Canis lupus familiaris: one gene and its partners. Each later gene encodes a partner of the first gene's protein in a complex. Links are inferred from orthologs where the notes say so. Each region holds a gene or a part of one and is shown in the gene's direction. Other genes may lie near its edges. The genes, in order: CUL7, OBSL1 and CCDC8.

What was found.
Region 2: CUL7 (region 1) and OBSL1 share a complex: the UniProt entries of both Homo sapiens proteins name them as parts of the 3M complex. The link is inferred for Canis lupus familiaris from reciprocal best matches to the Homo sapiens genes CUL7 and OBSL1.
Region 3: CUL7 (region 1) and CCDC8 share a complex: the UniProt entries of both Homo sapiens proteins name them as parts of the 3M complex. The link is inferred for Canis lupus familiaris from reciprocal best matches to the Homo sapiens genes CUL7 and CCDC8.

The regions. Positions count from the first base shown.
Region 1 is NC_049233.1:11,759,611-11,763,678, reverse strand, and holds the start of CUL7 (cullin-7), read left to right. Parts: upstream 1-1,257; 5' UTR 1,258-1,508; intron 1,509-2,349; 5' UTR 2,350-2,357; coding exon 2,358-2,937; intron 2,938-3,702; coding exon 3,703-3,854; intron 3,855-3,998; coding exon 3,999-4,068. Other genes in the region: MRPL2 (39S ribosomal protein L2, mitochondrial), read left to right, coding at 1-182, 530-742. UniProt on the Homo sapiens protein: Core component of the 3M and Cul7-RING(FBXW8) complexes, which mediate the ubiquitination and subsequent proteasomal degradation of target proteins. Core component of the 3M complex, a complex required to regulate microtubule dynamics and genome integrity.
Region 2 is NC_049258.1:25,941,671-25,945,192, reverse strand, and holds part of OBSL1 (obscurin-like protein 1), read left to right. Parts: intron 1-1,533; coding exon 1,534-1,806; intron 1,807-2,541; coding exon 2,542-2,817; intron 2,818-2,893; coding exon 2,894-3,181; intron 3,182-3,373; coding exon 3,374-3,522. UniProt on the Homo sapiens protein: Core component of the 3M complex, a complex required to regulate microtubule dynamics and genome integrity. It is unclear how the 3M complex regulates microtubules, it could act by controlling the level of a microtubule stabilizer.
Region 3 is NC_049222.1:110,057,538-110,061,663, reverse strand, and holds the start of CCDC8 (coiled-coil domain-containing protein 8), read left to right. Parts: upstream 1-1,318; 5' UTR 1,319-2,060; coding exon 2,061-3,626; 3' UTR 3,627-4,126. UniProt on the Homo sapiens protein: Core component of the 3M complex, a complex required to regulate microtubule dynamics and genome integrity. It is unclear how the 3M complex regulates microtubules, it could act by controlling the level of a microtubule stabilizer.

The DNA.
Region 1 (4,068 bases):
TGTTCCTAAAGGGCAAAGCAAGGTCAGGGTATGGGCTATGTCGCCCTGTAAATTTTCCCCCGCCTCCTCGTTTGTGGAAGACAGCAAAGTGGCTTCCCTCTTCCCCAGGGACATGTGGTGTGCTGCTTCGGAAAGTGAATGGGACAGCCATCATCCAGCTGCCATCCAAGAGGCAGATGCAGGTGTGTGTGAGTATAGGTGGGAGGGATCAGCAAAGGAGGAATTATCGGAATGCACCTTTCTTGTCTGGGATAGTTCCCAGGTGTTTTAGGAACCACCCTGAGCTAGGTGTGTCCTTTTCTGCCATGTGACCAGGCATGCCCTGTCAGGCTGGCACTATAATGGGAGAGGGAATAGTGCCTTTTGTTTTCAAATTACCATAGGACCTGCACTCAGGTTCGATGATGCTGTGGTTTTTTCCTGTCCTCTCCCTTCTCTCAGTGAGTGTAAGAAGCCTCCCCAGAGTCAGGAAATCAACGTCATGTTCTTTCCCAGTGGTGCATTCTCCTCCATCCGCTTTCTCCGTCAGGTTCTGGAAACGTGCATGGCAACAGTGGGCCGGGTATCCAACGTTGATCATAACAAACGGGTCATCGGCAAGGCTGGGCGGAACCGCTGGCTGGGCAAGAGGCCTTCCAGCGGGCTATGGCACCGAAAGGGGGGCTGGGCTGGCCGCAAGATTCGACCATTGCCTCCCATGAAGAGTTATGTCAAGCTGCCTTCGGCAGCTGCCCAAAACTGATATCGCTGAATTCTAATAAAATCGCTCCTATTTTTATCTGTTACTGTTTTTTGGGGAGGGAGGATGGTACATACTAGACCTGGGGGAGTGGGGGAACACAGGTGCAAACAAGGATGGAAGAGAAAGGAAAGGACGTTATGCGGCGAAGACTGGAGCTCTTCCCCTCTTTTCTAGCCACCCCACCCACCCCCGACTCGTGGGGGTTTTTTTGTTTTTTTGTTTTTTTTTAAATATAATGGGAGGAGGAGGAATAAATGACCTCCAAGGTCTTCTTCGGTTCTGACTTCGGGAATTGGAGAGAACACTTCCGGTGGGAGGAGGGAATACGGAAAGGAAGAGGAAAGGGCGGCGCAGAGGAAAAGGTGCCGCCCGTTGCCGAGGTGGCACCGGCGACTCCGCCCCAGCGCTCTCCTAGGGCCCCCAGCTTTCCGCTGGGTCAGCGGAAATGAGCCGCAGCTCCGGGCGGGTGGCGGAGCCCCAGAGCTGGGCGGGCGGCGCCGCTGGCTGAGCCCGGTCCCGCCTCGCCCCGGCGGCCGCTGACCTGTGCGCGCGGGCGGTGACAGTGGCCGCCCGGGGGTGCTCGGTCTCTGCGCGCCACGCCCCCGCCCGTCCTTCGGAGGCACGCCGCCTCCCGCCTCTCCGCTTAGACCCCCTCGGGGGCCCAGGCGGGGCCCAAACCTCTGCCAGCATCGCCGCCATCGTCTGCGCTGCGTCCCTAGCTCAGCGAAGGACAGGCCTCGCGCCGGGACCCCCATCGACTTCTGAGGTGGCCAGAGCCCCGCCGCGGCCCCTGCCCCTACCCTGGGTTTTCCTCTGCACACTCGCCCACCGGCCCCGCGCCCGCTCGATCTCGCGTCCCCCTATCCTACTTCCACAGTGCCTTGGGGTTCTCGTTTATCCCGTCTAGCCTCCTCCCCTGCACCTTCCCACGCGCCCCCAGCTCCTCGGGTCCACCTGCCTCTCGCCGCTCACCCACCGTGTCTCCTGTGCACCCCGTCCTGGGTCTCCCGTCGCCCCCACCGGCCCTGCTGCTCCAGTGTCCCCAGTCCTCGCCTCTGCTGCCCACCAGCGTCTCCTCCCGGCCCATCGCGCCTTGCCCTCACCCCACCCCAACCCACCGACAATTCTCCGGATCTCTTGTCTCTTTGACACACTCCTGCGCTTCAACCATCAGACCTAATGTCCTTTTCCAGGCACTCAGGGTCTCACTCCCCAACACACATAGCCCACCCCCACACCCCTCCGGGCTTTATTTATCTCCTCAGGGCTGCTGCCTGTCCCAGGGCCTTGGGATTCACTTGTAACTCCAAGGTTGCCCTGCCCACACTGTCCCCTTCCCACTGCTCCAAACCAACCCACTCCAGTTTGCAGGGCCTTCAAAACCCCCTTTCAACCAAATTTTGTGTTCTTAGAACAAACACCCCAGTGTTCCCCTGCTTAGGTCTGGCCCCACCCAGCCTGCAGCAGGCAACTCCTGGGCCCTGCTTTACTCCAGCCAACTGGACAGCTGTTACCACATTTGCTTCCCCAATTCCTGGACGTCCTTGATTTTCTGAACTCCCACTCTCATTTTAGCTTGCCTGTTCTCTTTTCCTTGTGTGTCTCAGGTGCCAGAATGGTGGGGGAACTCCGCTACAGGGAATTCAGAGTGCCTCTGGGACCTGGCTTGCATGCCTACCCAGATGAGCTGATCCGCCAGCGGGTAGGCCACGATGGGCATCCTGAGTACCAGATCCGCTGGCTCATCCTCAGGCGTGGGGATGAAGGGGAAGGGGGCTCTAGCCAAGTGGACTGCAAGGCTGAGCATATCCTACTGTGGATGTCCAACGACGAGATCTATGCCAACTGCCACAAGATGCTGGGCGAGGACGGCCAGGTCATCGGCCCCTCTCAGGAGATCACAGGGGAGGCTGGGGCCCTGGACAAATCTGTGTTGGGGGAAATGGAAACTGATGTGAAGTCTTTAATTCAGAGGGCCCTCCGGCAGCTGGAAGAGTGTGTGGGTACCATCCCTCCTGCTCCTTTACTTCACACTGTCCATGTACTCAGCGCCTATGCCAGCATTGAGCCCCTGACTGGGGTATTCAAAGACCCAAGGGTCCTGGACCTGCTCATGCACATGTTGAGTAGTCCTGATTATCAGATTCGCTGGAGTGCAGGCCGGATGATACAAGCCCTGGCCTCCCATGATGCTGGTGAGGAACAGTGTGGGGAGAAAAGAAGGGGAAGCTGGTTAGCTTGGGGCCTCACATGACACTGTGGCAAGAGCCTCTGCCTCATCAGTGCCTGAATAATTCTGTTGTCCTTCTCTTTGAGTTGGAAGAAAAGGAGATAGGAAGGTAGATAGGGACATCTCTGTAGGAAGAGGAAGGGACAGGTTGTGGGTTGGGTGAGGGAGTGCCTGACTGGCTCATTCAGAAGAGCATGCAACTCTTCATCTCAGGGTTGTAAGTTCACCTTTTGGGGCATAGAGTTTACATTTATTTATTTATTATTTAATTAATTTATTTATTCATAGGGGTGGGCAGAGACATAGGTAGAGGGAGAAACAGGCTCCATGCAGGGAGCCCGATGTGGGAGTCGATCCTGAGTCTCCAGGATCATGCCCTAGGCCTGAGGCAGGTGCTAAACCACTGGTGCTAAACCACTGAGCCACCCAGAGTGGATCCCTAGAGTTTACTTTAAAAAAAATTAGAAAAGAAAGAGAAAGGACTGAATCCTCAAGAATCTCACATTAATCGAATCTCTACGCAAAGGAAGAGTTAAGGTATTTGATTACTGTAGGATATATATGTATATGAAATATGAATATAGGAAAGATAGTAAGTTTTTTTTAAGCTAATTAGCAAAACATTTCATCCCCAAAGGGTGACAAAGGGATTGGACTGAGAGAGAAGAGGGTCTAGGAGGGATGCCCGGAAGGGCAATGTGAGCAGTTACTGACTGGGTGTGAGTTTCAGGGACTCGGACCCAGATCCTTCTGTCACTAAGCCAGCAAGAGGCCATTGAGAAACACCTGGATTTTGACAGCCGCTGTGCTCTACTAGCTTTGTTTGCACAGGCCACACTCTCTGAACACCCTATGTCTTTCGAAGGCATCCAGCTGCCACAGGTATTCTGTGGGGAGGTTTCGGTAGGGGGGTGCTATAAACAAGACCGAAGTACCAAGCCTTTTTACCTGCCCTTAAAGGATGGTGTGGAAAGAGGAGCTAAAGCTGGGACAAGGTGGATGTAGGCCAAAGATTGCATCCTACAGGTCCCAGGAAGGCTACTCTTCTCCCTGGTGAAGCGCTATTTGCACGTCACTTCCCTTCTGGACCAGCTGA
Region 2 (3,522 bases), on another chromosome or scaffold:
CTGACGCCGTCCTGCTGCCCTGTGCCCTGCCCTACGTCGAGAGCCTCGGTCCAGACTGAGTGATTTAGCCCCCCCTTCCCGCACCCCCTGCCTTCCAGATAGTGTAGCCTGGCACACACCAGCCACAACGCCTTTCTGCACACGTTCCACCCTGTAGCGAGGCCCTTCAGGCTCTGGCCAAACATAATGGCAGCTACACACATTTCAGCCCACACTTGGCCTCCCCACAAAACACCAGACTCTTCGCAGGGAAGTTGACACAAGCACCACCTCGGCTTTGGGCCAGGGAGGATCAAGTGTGATGCCAAGCTGAGGTCCCACAGCTGTGCAGACAGCCCAGCCCCAGCCCCACACCCTGTCTCCACCGACTGTGCCCACCGCCTCCCCTCCCCCACCCAGGCAGCCCCGCTCTGCAATCTGCCAGGGAGCCAGCCTGCATCCTCTGGACTCTAGAACAGGCCGTTAGGGAGGTGGGTCGTTAGGGAGGTGGGGCGTGGAGGCCGAGGACTTGAGTGTGTGCTGGCGAGCACGTCAGCCCGCGCGCAAAGAGTGGGGCCGGGAAGCTGGCAGTTCCCGAGCCTCGCCGCCAGGCGGCTGAGCAGTAAAGGCGTCCTAATAGTGTCCTGGAACCTAGAATCTGGGAGACGTCCAGGGTGCGTGGGAGCCCGAGCTACCTTGGGGCCCGGCGCACCAGTCACTTCCAGGCTTGACACAGATCCTTTTTCTGTGGAGGAGTGACCAGTTCTGAGCGGTTGGAAATGAACTCCCAGAATCAGGGTTTAGCGTCCCCGGGGATCTCAGACAGGTGTGGGCAACCCCCCCAGGCCCAGATGCAAACATCGTTACTGGGCTCTGCCGGCCTTGGCTTGCGATCCCTACCACTGCTTGCAGAGTCGGAGCCTCCCTTTCGCAGATGGCAGTTCTTCCTCCTGCCCCAGAGTAGGCGTAGTCTGCTGTGATCTGAAAGAGGTTGGGTGATCACTCCGTGCCTCAGTTTCTACATCTGGAAAACAGGGATAAAACCCTACCTACCTCTCCAGATTGCTGTGAGGGTTCAGTGTGTAAAGCGCTCAGGCCTGTTCTGGAGCCTGTTGGCTGTTACAGATCCAGGGTCTCTTATTCACAGCTCTGACCTAAAAAAACTTCTTAAAAGCAAGACTTTCTGCAAGTTTGGGGTTCAAAGCCATGGCAGTAGGACCTGAGCTTAACTGCTGTGAAACTGGTTCTACTCTTTAATTCTCCTGCTGAGAGCATGTCCATGTGTTACACTGCAGAGAAGTTGGCGGGGTCATTGGTGGGGAGCATGCCCGGGGCAGGGAGGGGTAGGAGGAGCAGGTGATCTAGGATTTGTGATCTACGATTAATGCGCCATCTCTGGGATCTGAAGCGTTCTGGGTCCTATCACAGCCCTGGCCTCAGGGATTTCAGATGGTGATCCTTATCACTTATTACCGTGAGCGACAGGAACTTCGAGCTGCCAGGGAGGCGGGTGGTGAGTTTGTGACAGCTTGTGACCCCACCTCCACCCCACAGAGCCCCCCGTGCGCATCATATACCCCCGGGATGAGGTGACTTTGATCGCCGTGAGCTTGGAGTGCGTGGTACTGACGTGTGAGCTGTCTCGGGAGGATGCCCCCGTGCGCTGGTACAAGGACGGGCTGGAGGTGGAGGAGAGTGAGGCCCTGGTGCTGGAGAGTGACGGGCCACACCGCCGCCTGGTGCTGCCCGCGGCCCAACCGGAGCAAGGGGGCGAGTTCGTGTGTGACGCCGGAGATGACTCTGCCTTCTTCACTGTCACTGTCACAGGTGGGCCGTCTCTGGGCCCCCTGGGGAGCTAGAGACGCAGGAGGCTAAGGGACAGACACCTGACCTCCTCACTTCCTGCATCTTAGGGGCCCCCCATCTGGCCCAGGAAGCCTGCCCTCCCCCAACTTCCTCATTCTCAGCCATCTGAGAGCGCTGGCTTGCCCAGATCAGGCCATGACAGTGACTCGAGGTCTGGTGAGGACAGCCCAGCAGTTAGGAGCATCCATTCATCAAATATGTATTGAGCAACTACTATGTGCTCAGCCCAGTTCTGAATGCTGACAGAGTAGCAAGCCAGTAAGAGCAAAGCTCCAGTTCTCCACTAGAATTCGAGGATTCGAGGACGGACAGACAACTAGTAGGTGATAAGTCCGTCAGAGGCTAATCGGGGACAGGGGGTACGGAGTGGGCATGGCTTAGGGAGGGGTGTGCGTTGGGGTAGGGCTGGGTCTACCTCTTTCTGTCCGTGGGACCTTGGGCAAGCCACTTTCCTCCAAAGAGTCCTCGAGTCCTTATCTGTAAGGTGAAGCCAACATTAGCGCCCTTCTAGGGAATCAGGAATAGCTGTGGAAAGAGCTCAGGGTGCCCAGCACAGCACCTGGCACGCAGTAGGTGCCCATGGATTGGGGCCAGACCCAAGAGCTGCGCTGGGAAGAGAGAGGGCTGAGGAGCCGGGGGCCAGGCAGGTGGAGGCCTGCTGGCTGAGCCTGAGCACCTCTCCCTTCTGTCCGCCAGCCCCGCCAGCAAGGATCGTGCACCCGGCAGCCCGCTCCCTGGACCTGCAGTTCAGGGCTCCGGGGCGCGTGGAGCTGCGCTGCGAGGTGGCCCCTGCTGGGTCCCAGGTGCGCTGGTACAAAGATGGGCTGGAGGTGGAAGCGTCCGACACGCTGCAGCTGGGAGCCAAGGGGCCTGCTCGCACCCTGACCCTGCCCCACGCCCAGCCTGAGGACGCCGGGGAGTACGTGTGCGAGACGCGTGATGAAGCCGTCACCTTCAATGTCAGCCTGGCTGGTGGGTGCCTCCTGCCAGCCTGGGTGCGGGGGATGGGGTAGTGGACCCCAGCCGACAAGCTCCTCTCTCTGTCCAGAGCCCCCAGTCCAGTTCCTTGCCCCAGATGCAGCCCCTACCCCCCTCTGTGTGGCCCCTGGGGAGCCGGTGGTGCTGAGCTGTGAACTGTCCCGGGCTGGCGCCCTCGTCTTCTGGAGCCACAACGGGAGGCCGGTGCAGGAGGGCGAGGGCCTGGAGCTCCGTGCCGAGGGCCCCCGCCGCATCCTCCACATCCCGGCTGCAGACCTGACCCACGCAGGCCTCTACACCTGCCAGTCCGGGTCGGCCCCCGAGGCCCCCAGCCTCAACTTCACCGTCCAAGTGGCTGGTAAGTACGGCCCGGGCAGACAGCCTGAGAGAGTTGTACCCCCAAACCCATACGAGTCTCCCCCGCTTCTCTAGCATGCCTCGTCCATCCCTCACCCACCTCTCAGTATCTTACGTCCCACTCCCTGCTCGCCCCCTGCCCCGTAGCCCTCAGGCCTCTCCCTCCCAGTGACCCCCAGCTCTGACCCCACAGAGCCCCCCGTGCGCATAGTGGCCCCCGAGGCAGCCCAGACGAGGGTTCGCAGCACCCCAGGCGGGGACCTGGAGCTGGTGGTGCACCTCTCAGGGCCGGGGGGCCCCACACGCTGGTACAAGGATGGGGAGCGACTGGCGAGCCAGGGG
Region 3 (4,126 bases), on another chromosome or scaffold:
AGACTCCCTGCTGGGCAGGGAACCCAATATGGGACTCGATCCCAGGACTCTGGGATCATGACCTGAGCCAAAGGCAGATACTTAACTACCTGAGCCACCCAGGTACCCCGAGTAGGTGATATTTACATCCTCAGCTATAAATGGGAATGATCGGACCCCTGGGTGGCTCAGTACGCTAAAGCGGCTGCTTTGGGCTCAGGTCATGATCCAGGGGTCCTGGGATGGAGCCCCACCTCTCCCTCCCTGCTCAGCAGGGGGTCTGCTTCTCTTCTCTCTCTGTTCTCTTTCTCAAGTAGATAAATAAAATCTTTTAATAAAATAAAATAAGGGATCCCTGGGTGGCGCAGCGGTTTGGCGCCTGCCTTTGGCCCCGGCGCGATCCTGGAGACCCGGGATCAAATCCCACATCAGGCTCCCGGTGCATGGAGGCTGCTTCTCCCTCTGCCTGTGTCTCTGCCTCTCTCTCTCTCTCTCTCTCTCTCTCTCTCTCTCTCTCTGTGACCATCATAAATAAATAAAAATTAAAAAAATAATAATAAAATAAAATGGGAATGATCATATTACCTGTATCATAATGTTATAGGGAGGATTTCATGAGTTAGTCTGCAGAAAGCACTTAGAATGGTGTCTAAGGACGCAGGAGACGCTCCATAAAACCTGACTCTCCTTTTCACCGGATGCTTCTTTTTACAGAGCTGCATAGTCTTTCAATGCGAGAACCGTACAACCAAGCCAGCGCCTCCTGATGAACACTTCGGTTCCTTCCTTCACCCCCACAATCTTTATTGAGCACCTACCGTGTGCCAAGCCTGGTGCTAGAGGCTAGCGCAGTTACGATCCTGGTACTAATCTCTCCACCGACCTGTAAGGAGGTCGGAACCTGTATGGCTAAAGAGGTAGGGACCTCTTGGTACCCAAAGTCACATGATGTGAAGTGGTCACCTCCAGTGCCAGTGGCTGGTACCCAAGGTCACATGGTGTGAAGTGGTCACCTCCAGTGCCGGTGGCTTTCCAAAGGACCGCCCCGTGAGCACCGCCACCTCCAGGGCTCGGCTGGAAGCCCCGGCTTTAGCAGGGCAGGTTAGGGAACTGCCGCCTTTCCCCCAGGGAAGGTGCTGACGTGGGCCCCGGCGGGGGCGTCCGCCTCGGGAGCGGTGGCCCCAAGGAGGCCCGGAGCGCGGCCACACCCCTGTGGGGGAGGGAATAAGGGCGCCCCGAAGGGAGTGGACAGCCCCCCTGTCAGTCTTCCCGAGTCCGGGAGTGTAAGATGAGAAGGGGAAGGTGGGCCTCCCCGAGGGGAGAGCGAGGAGGAACTTCCTGCCCGCGCTCCTCGGCGCTGAGCGCTCGGGCTGGGGAGGCTGTGGGCGCGTCAAGGTCGGCCTGGGACTGGGGTGGCCGCCTGCCCGGGGGCGGGAGACCCTGGGGGGCCGGGCTGCGGCCCCCAAGCGCCTCGGCCTTATTGAAGAGCCGTCTTCGTGTGCGAAGGCCTCTCCCAAGCTGCGGGCGCGTCCCGAGGCAGGAAGAGCCACGGGGCAGCCCGTGCGCCCCCACTAGCTTGGAGCCGGGACTCCACGTCTGCAGCTGGCGGTGGGCTTCGAGCCCCAGGACTCGCCTCTCCCGGGCTCACGTAAGCATCCTGGGGATTGATTCCCGCCAGTCCTCGGTGGTGGGCGGGGAGCCGGACTCGGTCAAGACTGGACTTTGTGGCGGGCAGAGGAGTCGGGAGGGGCTGGCTCATCCTTGGCTGCAGAGGTGAGACCCTCCCCGGGGGCAGTTCTGCTGGGACCCCCACCCCCAAGACTCAGGCCTATTTGTAGTTTGGGGTCGTTGCCCCCAGCCCAGATTTCACCCTGGAGATCTTAAAGACCCTCGAGAAAAGCCACGTGGGGGGCTGGTTCCCCTGGGGCTTCCTCCCATCCCCCGACTCCCTGATCCTCTGGAGCGTCCCTGATGTGTGCAAAGATGTGGATCTGGACGTCCTCGTGGAAGCCTTGAAGCCCGTTGGGACCTTTAAGAAGATTGGCAAGGTGTTCCGCAGGGAGGAGGACTCCACGGTGGGGATGCTGCAGATCGGGGAGGACGTCGACTATTTGCTCATCCCCCGGGAGGTCAGGCTGGCCGGAGGCGTGTGGAGGGTCATCTCCAAGCCTGCCACCAAGGAGGCGGAATTTCGGGAGCGGCTGATCCAGTTTCTGGAGGAAGAAGGCCGCACATTGGAGGACGTGGCCCGCATCATTGAGAAGAGCACCCCACACCCGCCCCAGCCCCCCAGAAAGCCCAAGGAGCCCGGAGGGAGGAGGAGAGTCCAGCAGATGGTGACCCCTCCCCCACGCCTGGTCGTGGGCACCTATGACAGCAGCAATGCCAGCGACAGCGAGTTCAGTGACTTCGACACCTCCAGAGACAAGCGTGACAAGGGTGACAAAGGTCACAAAGGTGCAGGGCGCAGCAGGAAGGTGCGCAAAATGCCAGTCAGTTACCTGGGCAGCAAATTTCTAGGGAGCGACCTGGAGAGCGAGGACGACGAGGAACTGGTGGAGGCCTTCCTGCAGCGAGGGGAGAAGAAGCCCAGCGCGCCACCTGCCCGCCGCCGGGTGAACCTGCCAGTGCCCATGTTCGAGGACAACCCCAGGCCGCAGCTGTCCAAGGCTGACAGGTGGCGAGAGTATGTCAGCCAGGTGTCCTGGGGGAAGCTGAAGCGGAGGGTGAAGGGTTGGGCGCCCAGGTCCAGCCCCGAGGTGGGCGAGGCCCGGCAGGCCTCTACCAGGCTGGAGAGGGTTGGGGCGTCCATACTGGGCAGAGCCAGCCGGGGGGTTAATGTGGGCAACACAGGAGCTGAGCAGGTGCCTGAGAGTCCCCCAAGACGATGGAGGCCCAAAATCAACTGGGCCTCTTTTCGCCGTCACAGGAGGGAAGAAGCAGCATCCACAGAGGAGGGGGCAGAGGTTGTAGATGATCAGAGAGCAGAGGCTGCAGATGATCAGGGGGCTGAGGCTGCAGATAATCAGAGGGCAGAGGCTGCAGATGATCAGAGGGCAGAGGCTGCAGATGATCAGGGGGCTGAGGCTGCAGATGATCAGGGGGCTGAGGCTGCAGATAATCAGAGAGCTGAGGCTGCAGATAATCAGAGGGCAGAGGCTGCAGATAATCAGAGGGCAGAGGCTGCAGATGATCAAAGAGTAGAGGCCATACCTGTCCAGGGGGCAGAGGCCATAGCTGTCCAGAGGGCAGAAGTTGCAAGTAGTCAGGGGGAAGGGGCTCCAGATAATCAAAGGGCAGAGGTCCCAGTTGTCCAGGGGGCAGAGGCTGCATCCGATGGGGCAGAAGCCATAGCCAACCAGAGGGCAGAAGCGGCACATAACCAAAGGGCAGAAGCCCCAGCTGCCCAGGTGGCCACAGGGACAACCCAAGGAGCTAAGGCCCGGAAACAGGTCAAGACAGTGAGGTTCCAGACCCCTGGACGTTTTTCATGGTTTCGCAAACGCCGGAGAGCCTTCTGGCACACTCCCCGGTTGCCAACCCTGCCCAAGAGAGTCCCCAGGGCAGGCGAGGCCAGGAGCCTTAGAGTGTTAAGGGCAGAGGCCAGAGCAGAAGCAGAGCAGGGAGAGCGAGAAGACCAGCTGTGAGGTGAGGGCAGGGGTGCCCTGGGGCTCGCAGCCACCTGCCATACCATCACCACTCTGGGCTCGGCCCTCCCTCCCCTGCACTTGGGTGGAGATGCCCTTCCTGCCACCATACTTGAAAATGCAAGTGGACAAGGGTCGGGCAGTGGTCCTCCCATCTCCACCCAGCACCCATCTTTCCTGTTAAAAGTTTATCTTTCATGCATTGATTTTTTGTTTTTAAAGACTCTTTCTAGTCACCCAAGGAATGTAAAGAAACAGAGCCATACAAAGGGGTTGCATCACTCATGATTTTAACTTCTCAAATGCGACTCTAGGTGCTCAGCTTGGCGGGGGCAGGATGCTAGGGAGAAATTTCCTCCCCTCCCCCTTTCTCTTCTTTTCTCCTGCACACTTAACATTGACCGCCTCCTTGAACTTAAGAAAAAAGGGGCTCGAGCCGACATGCAAATAAAATGCTTACCACGTGATTTCCTGGCTCTGGACTGGGCAGCTGAAGAATG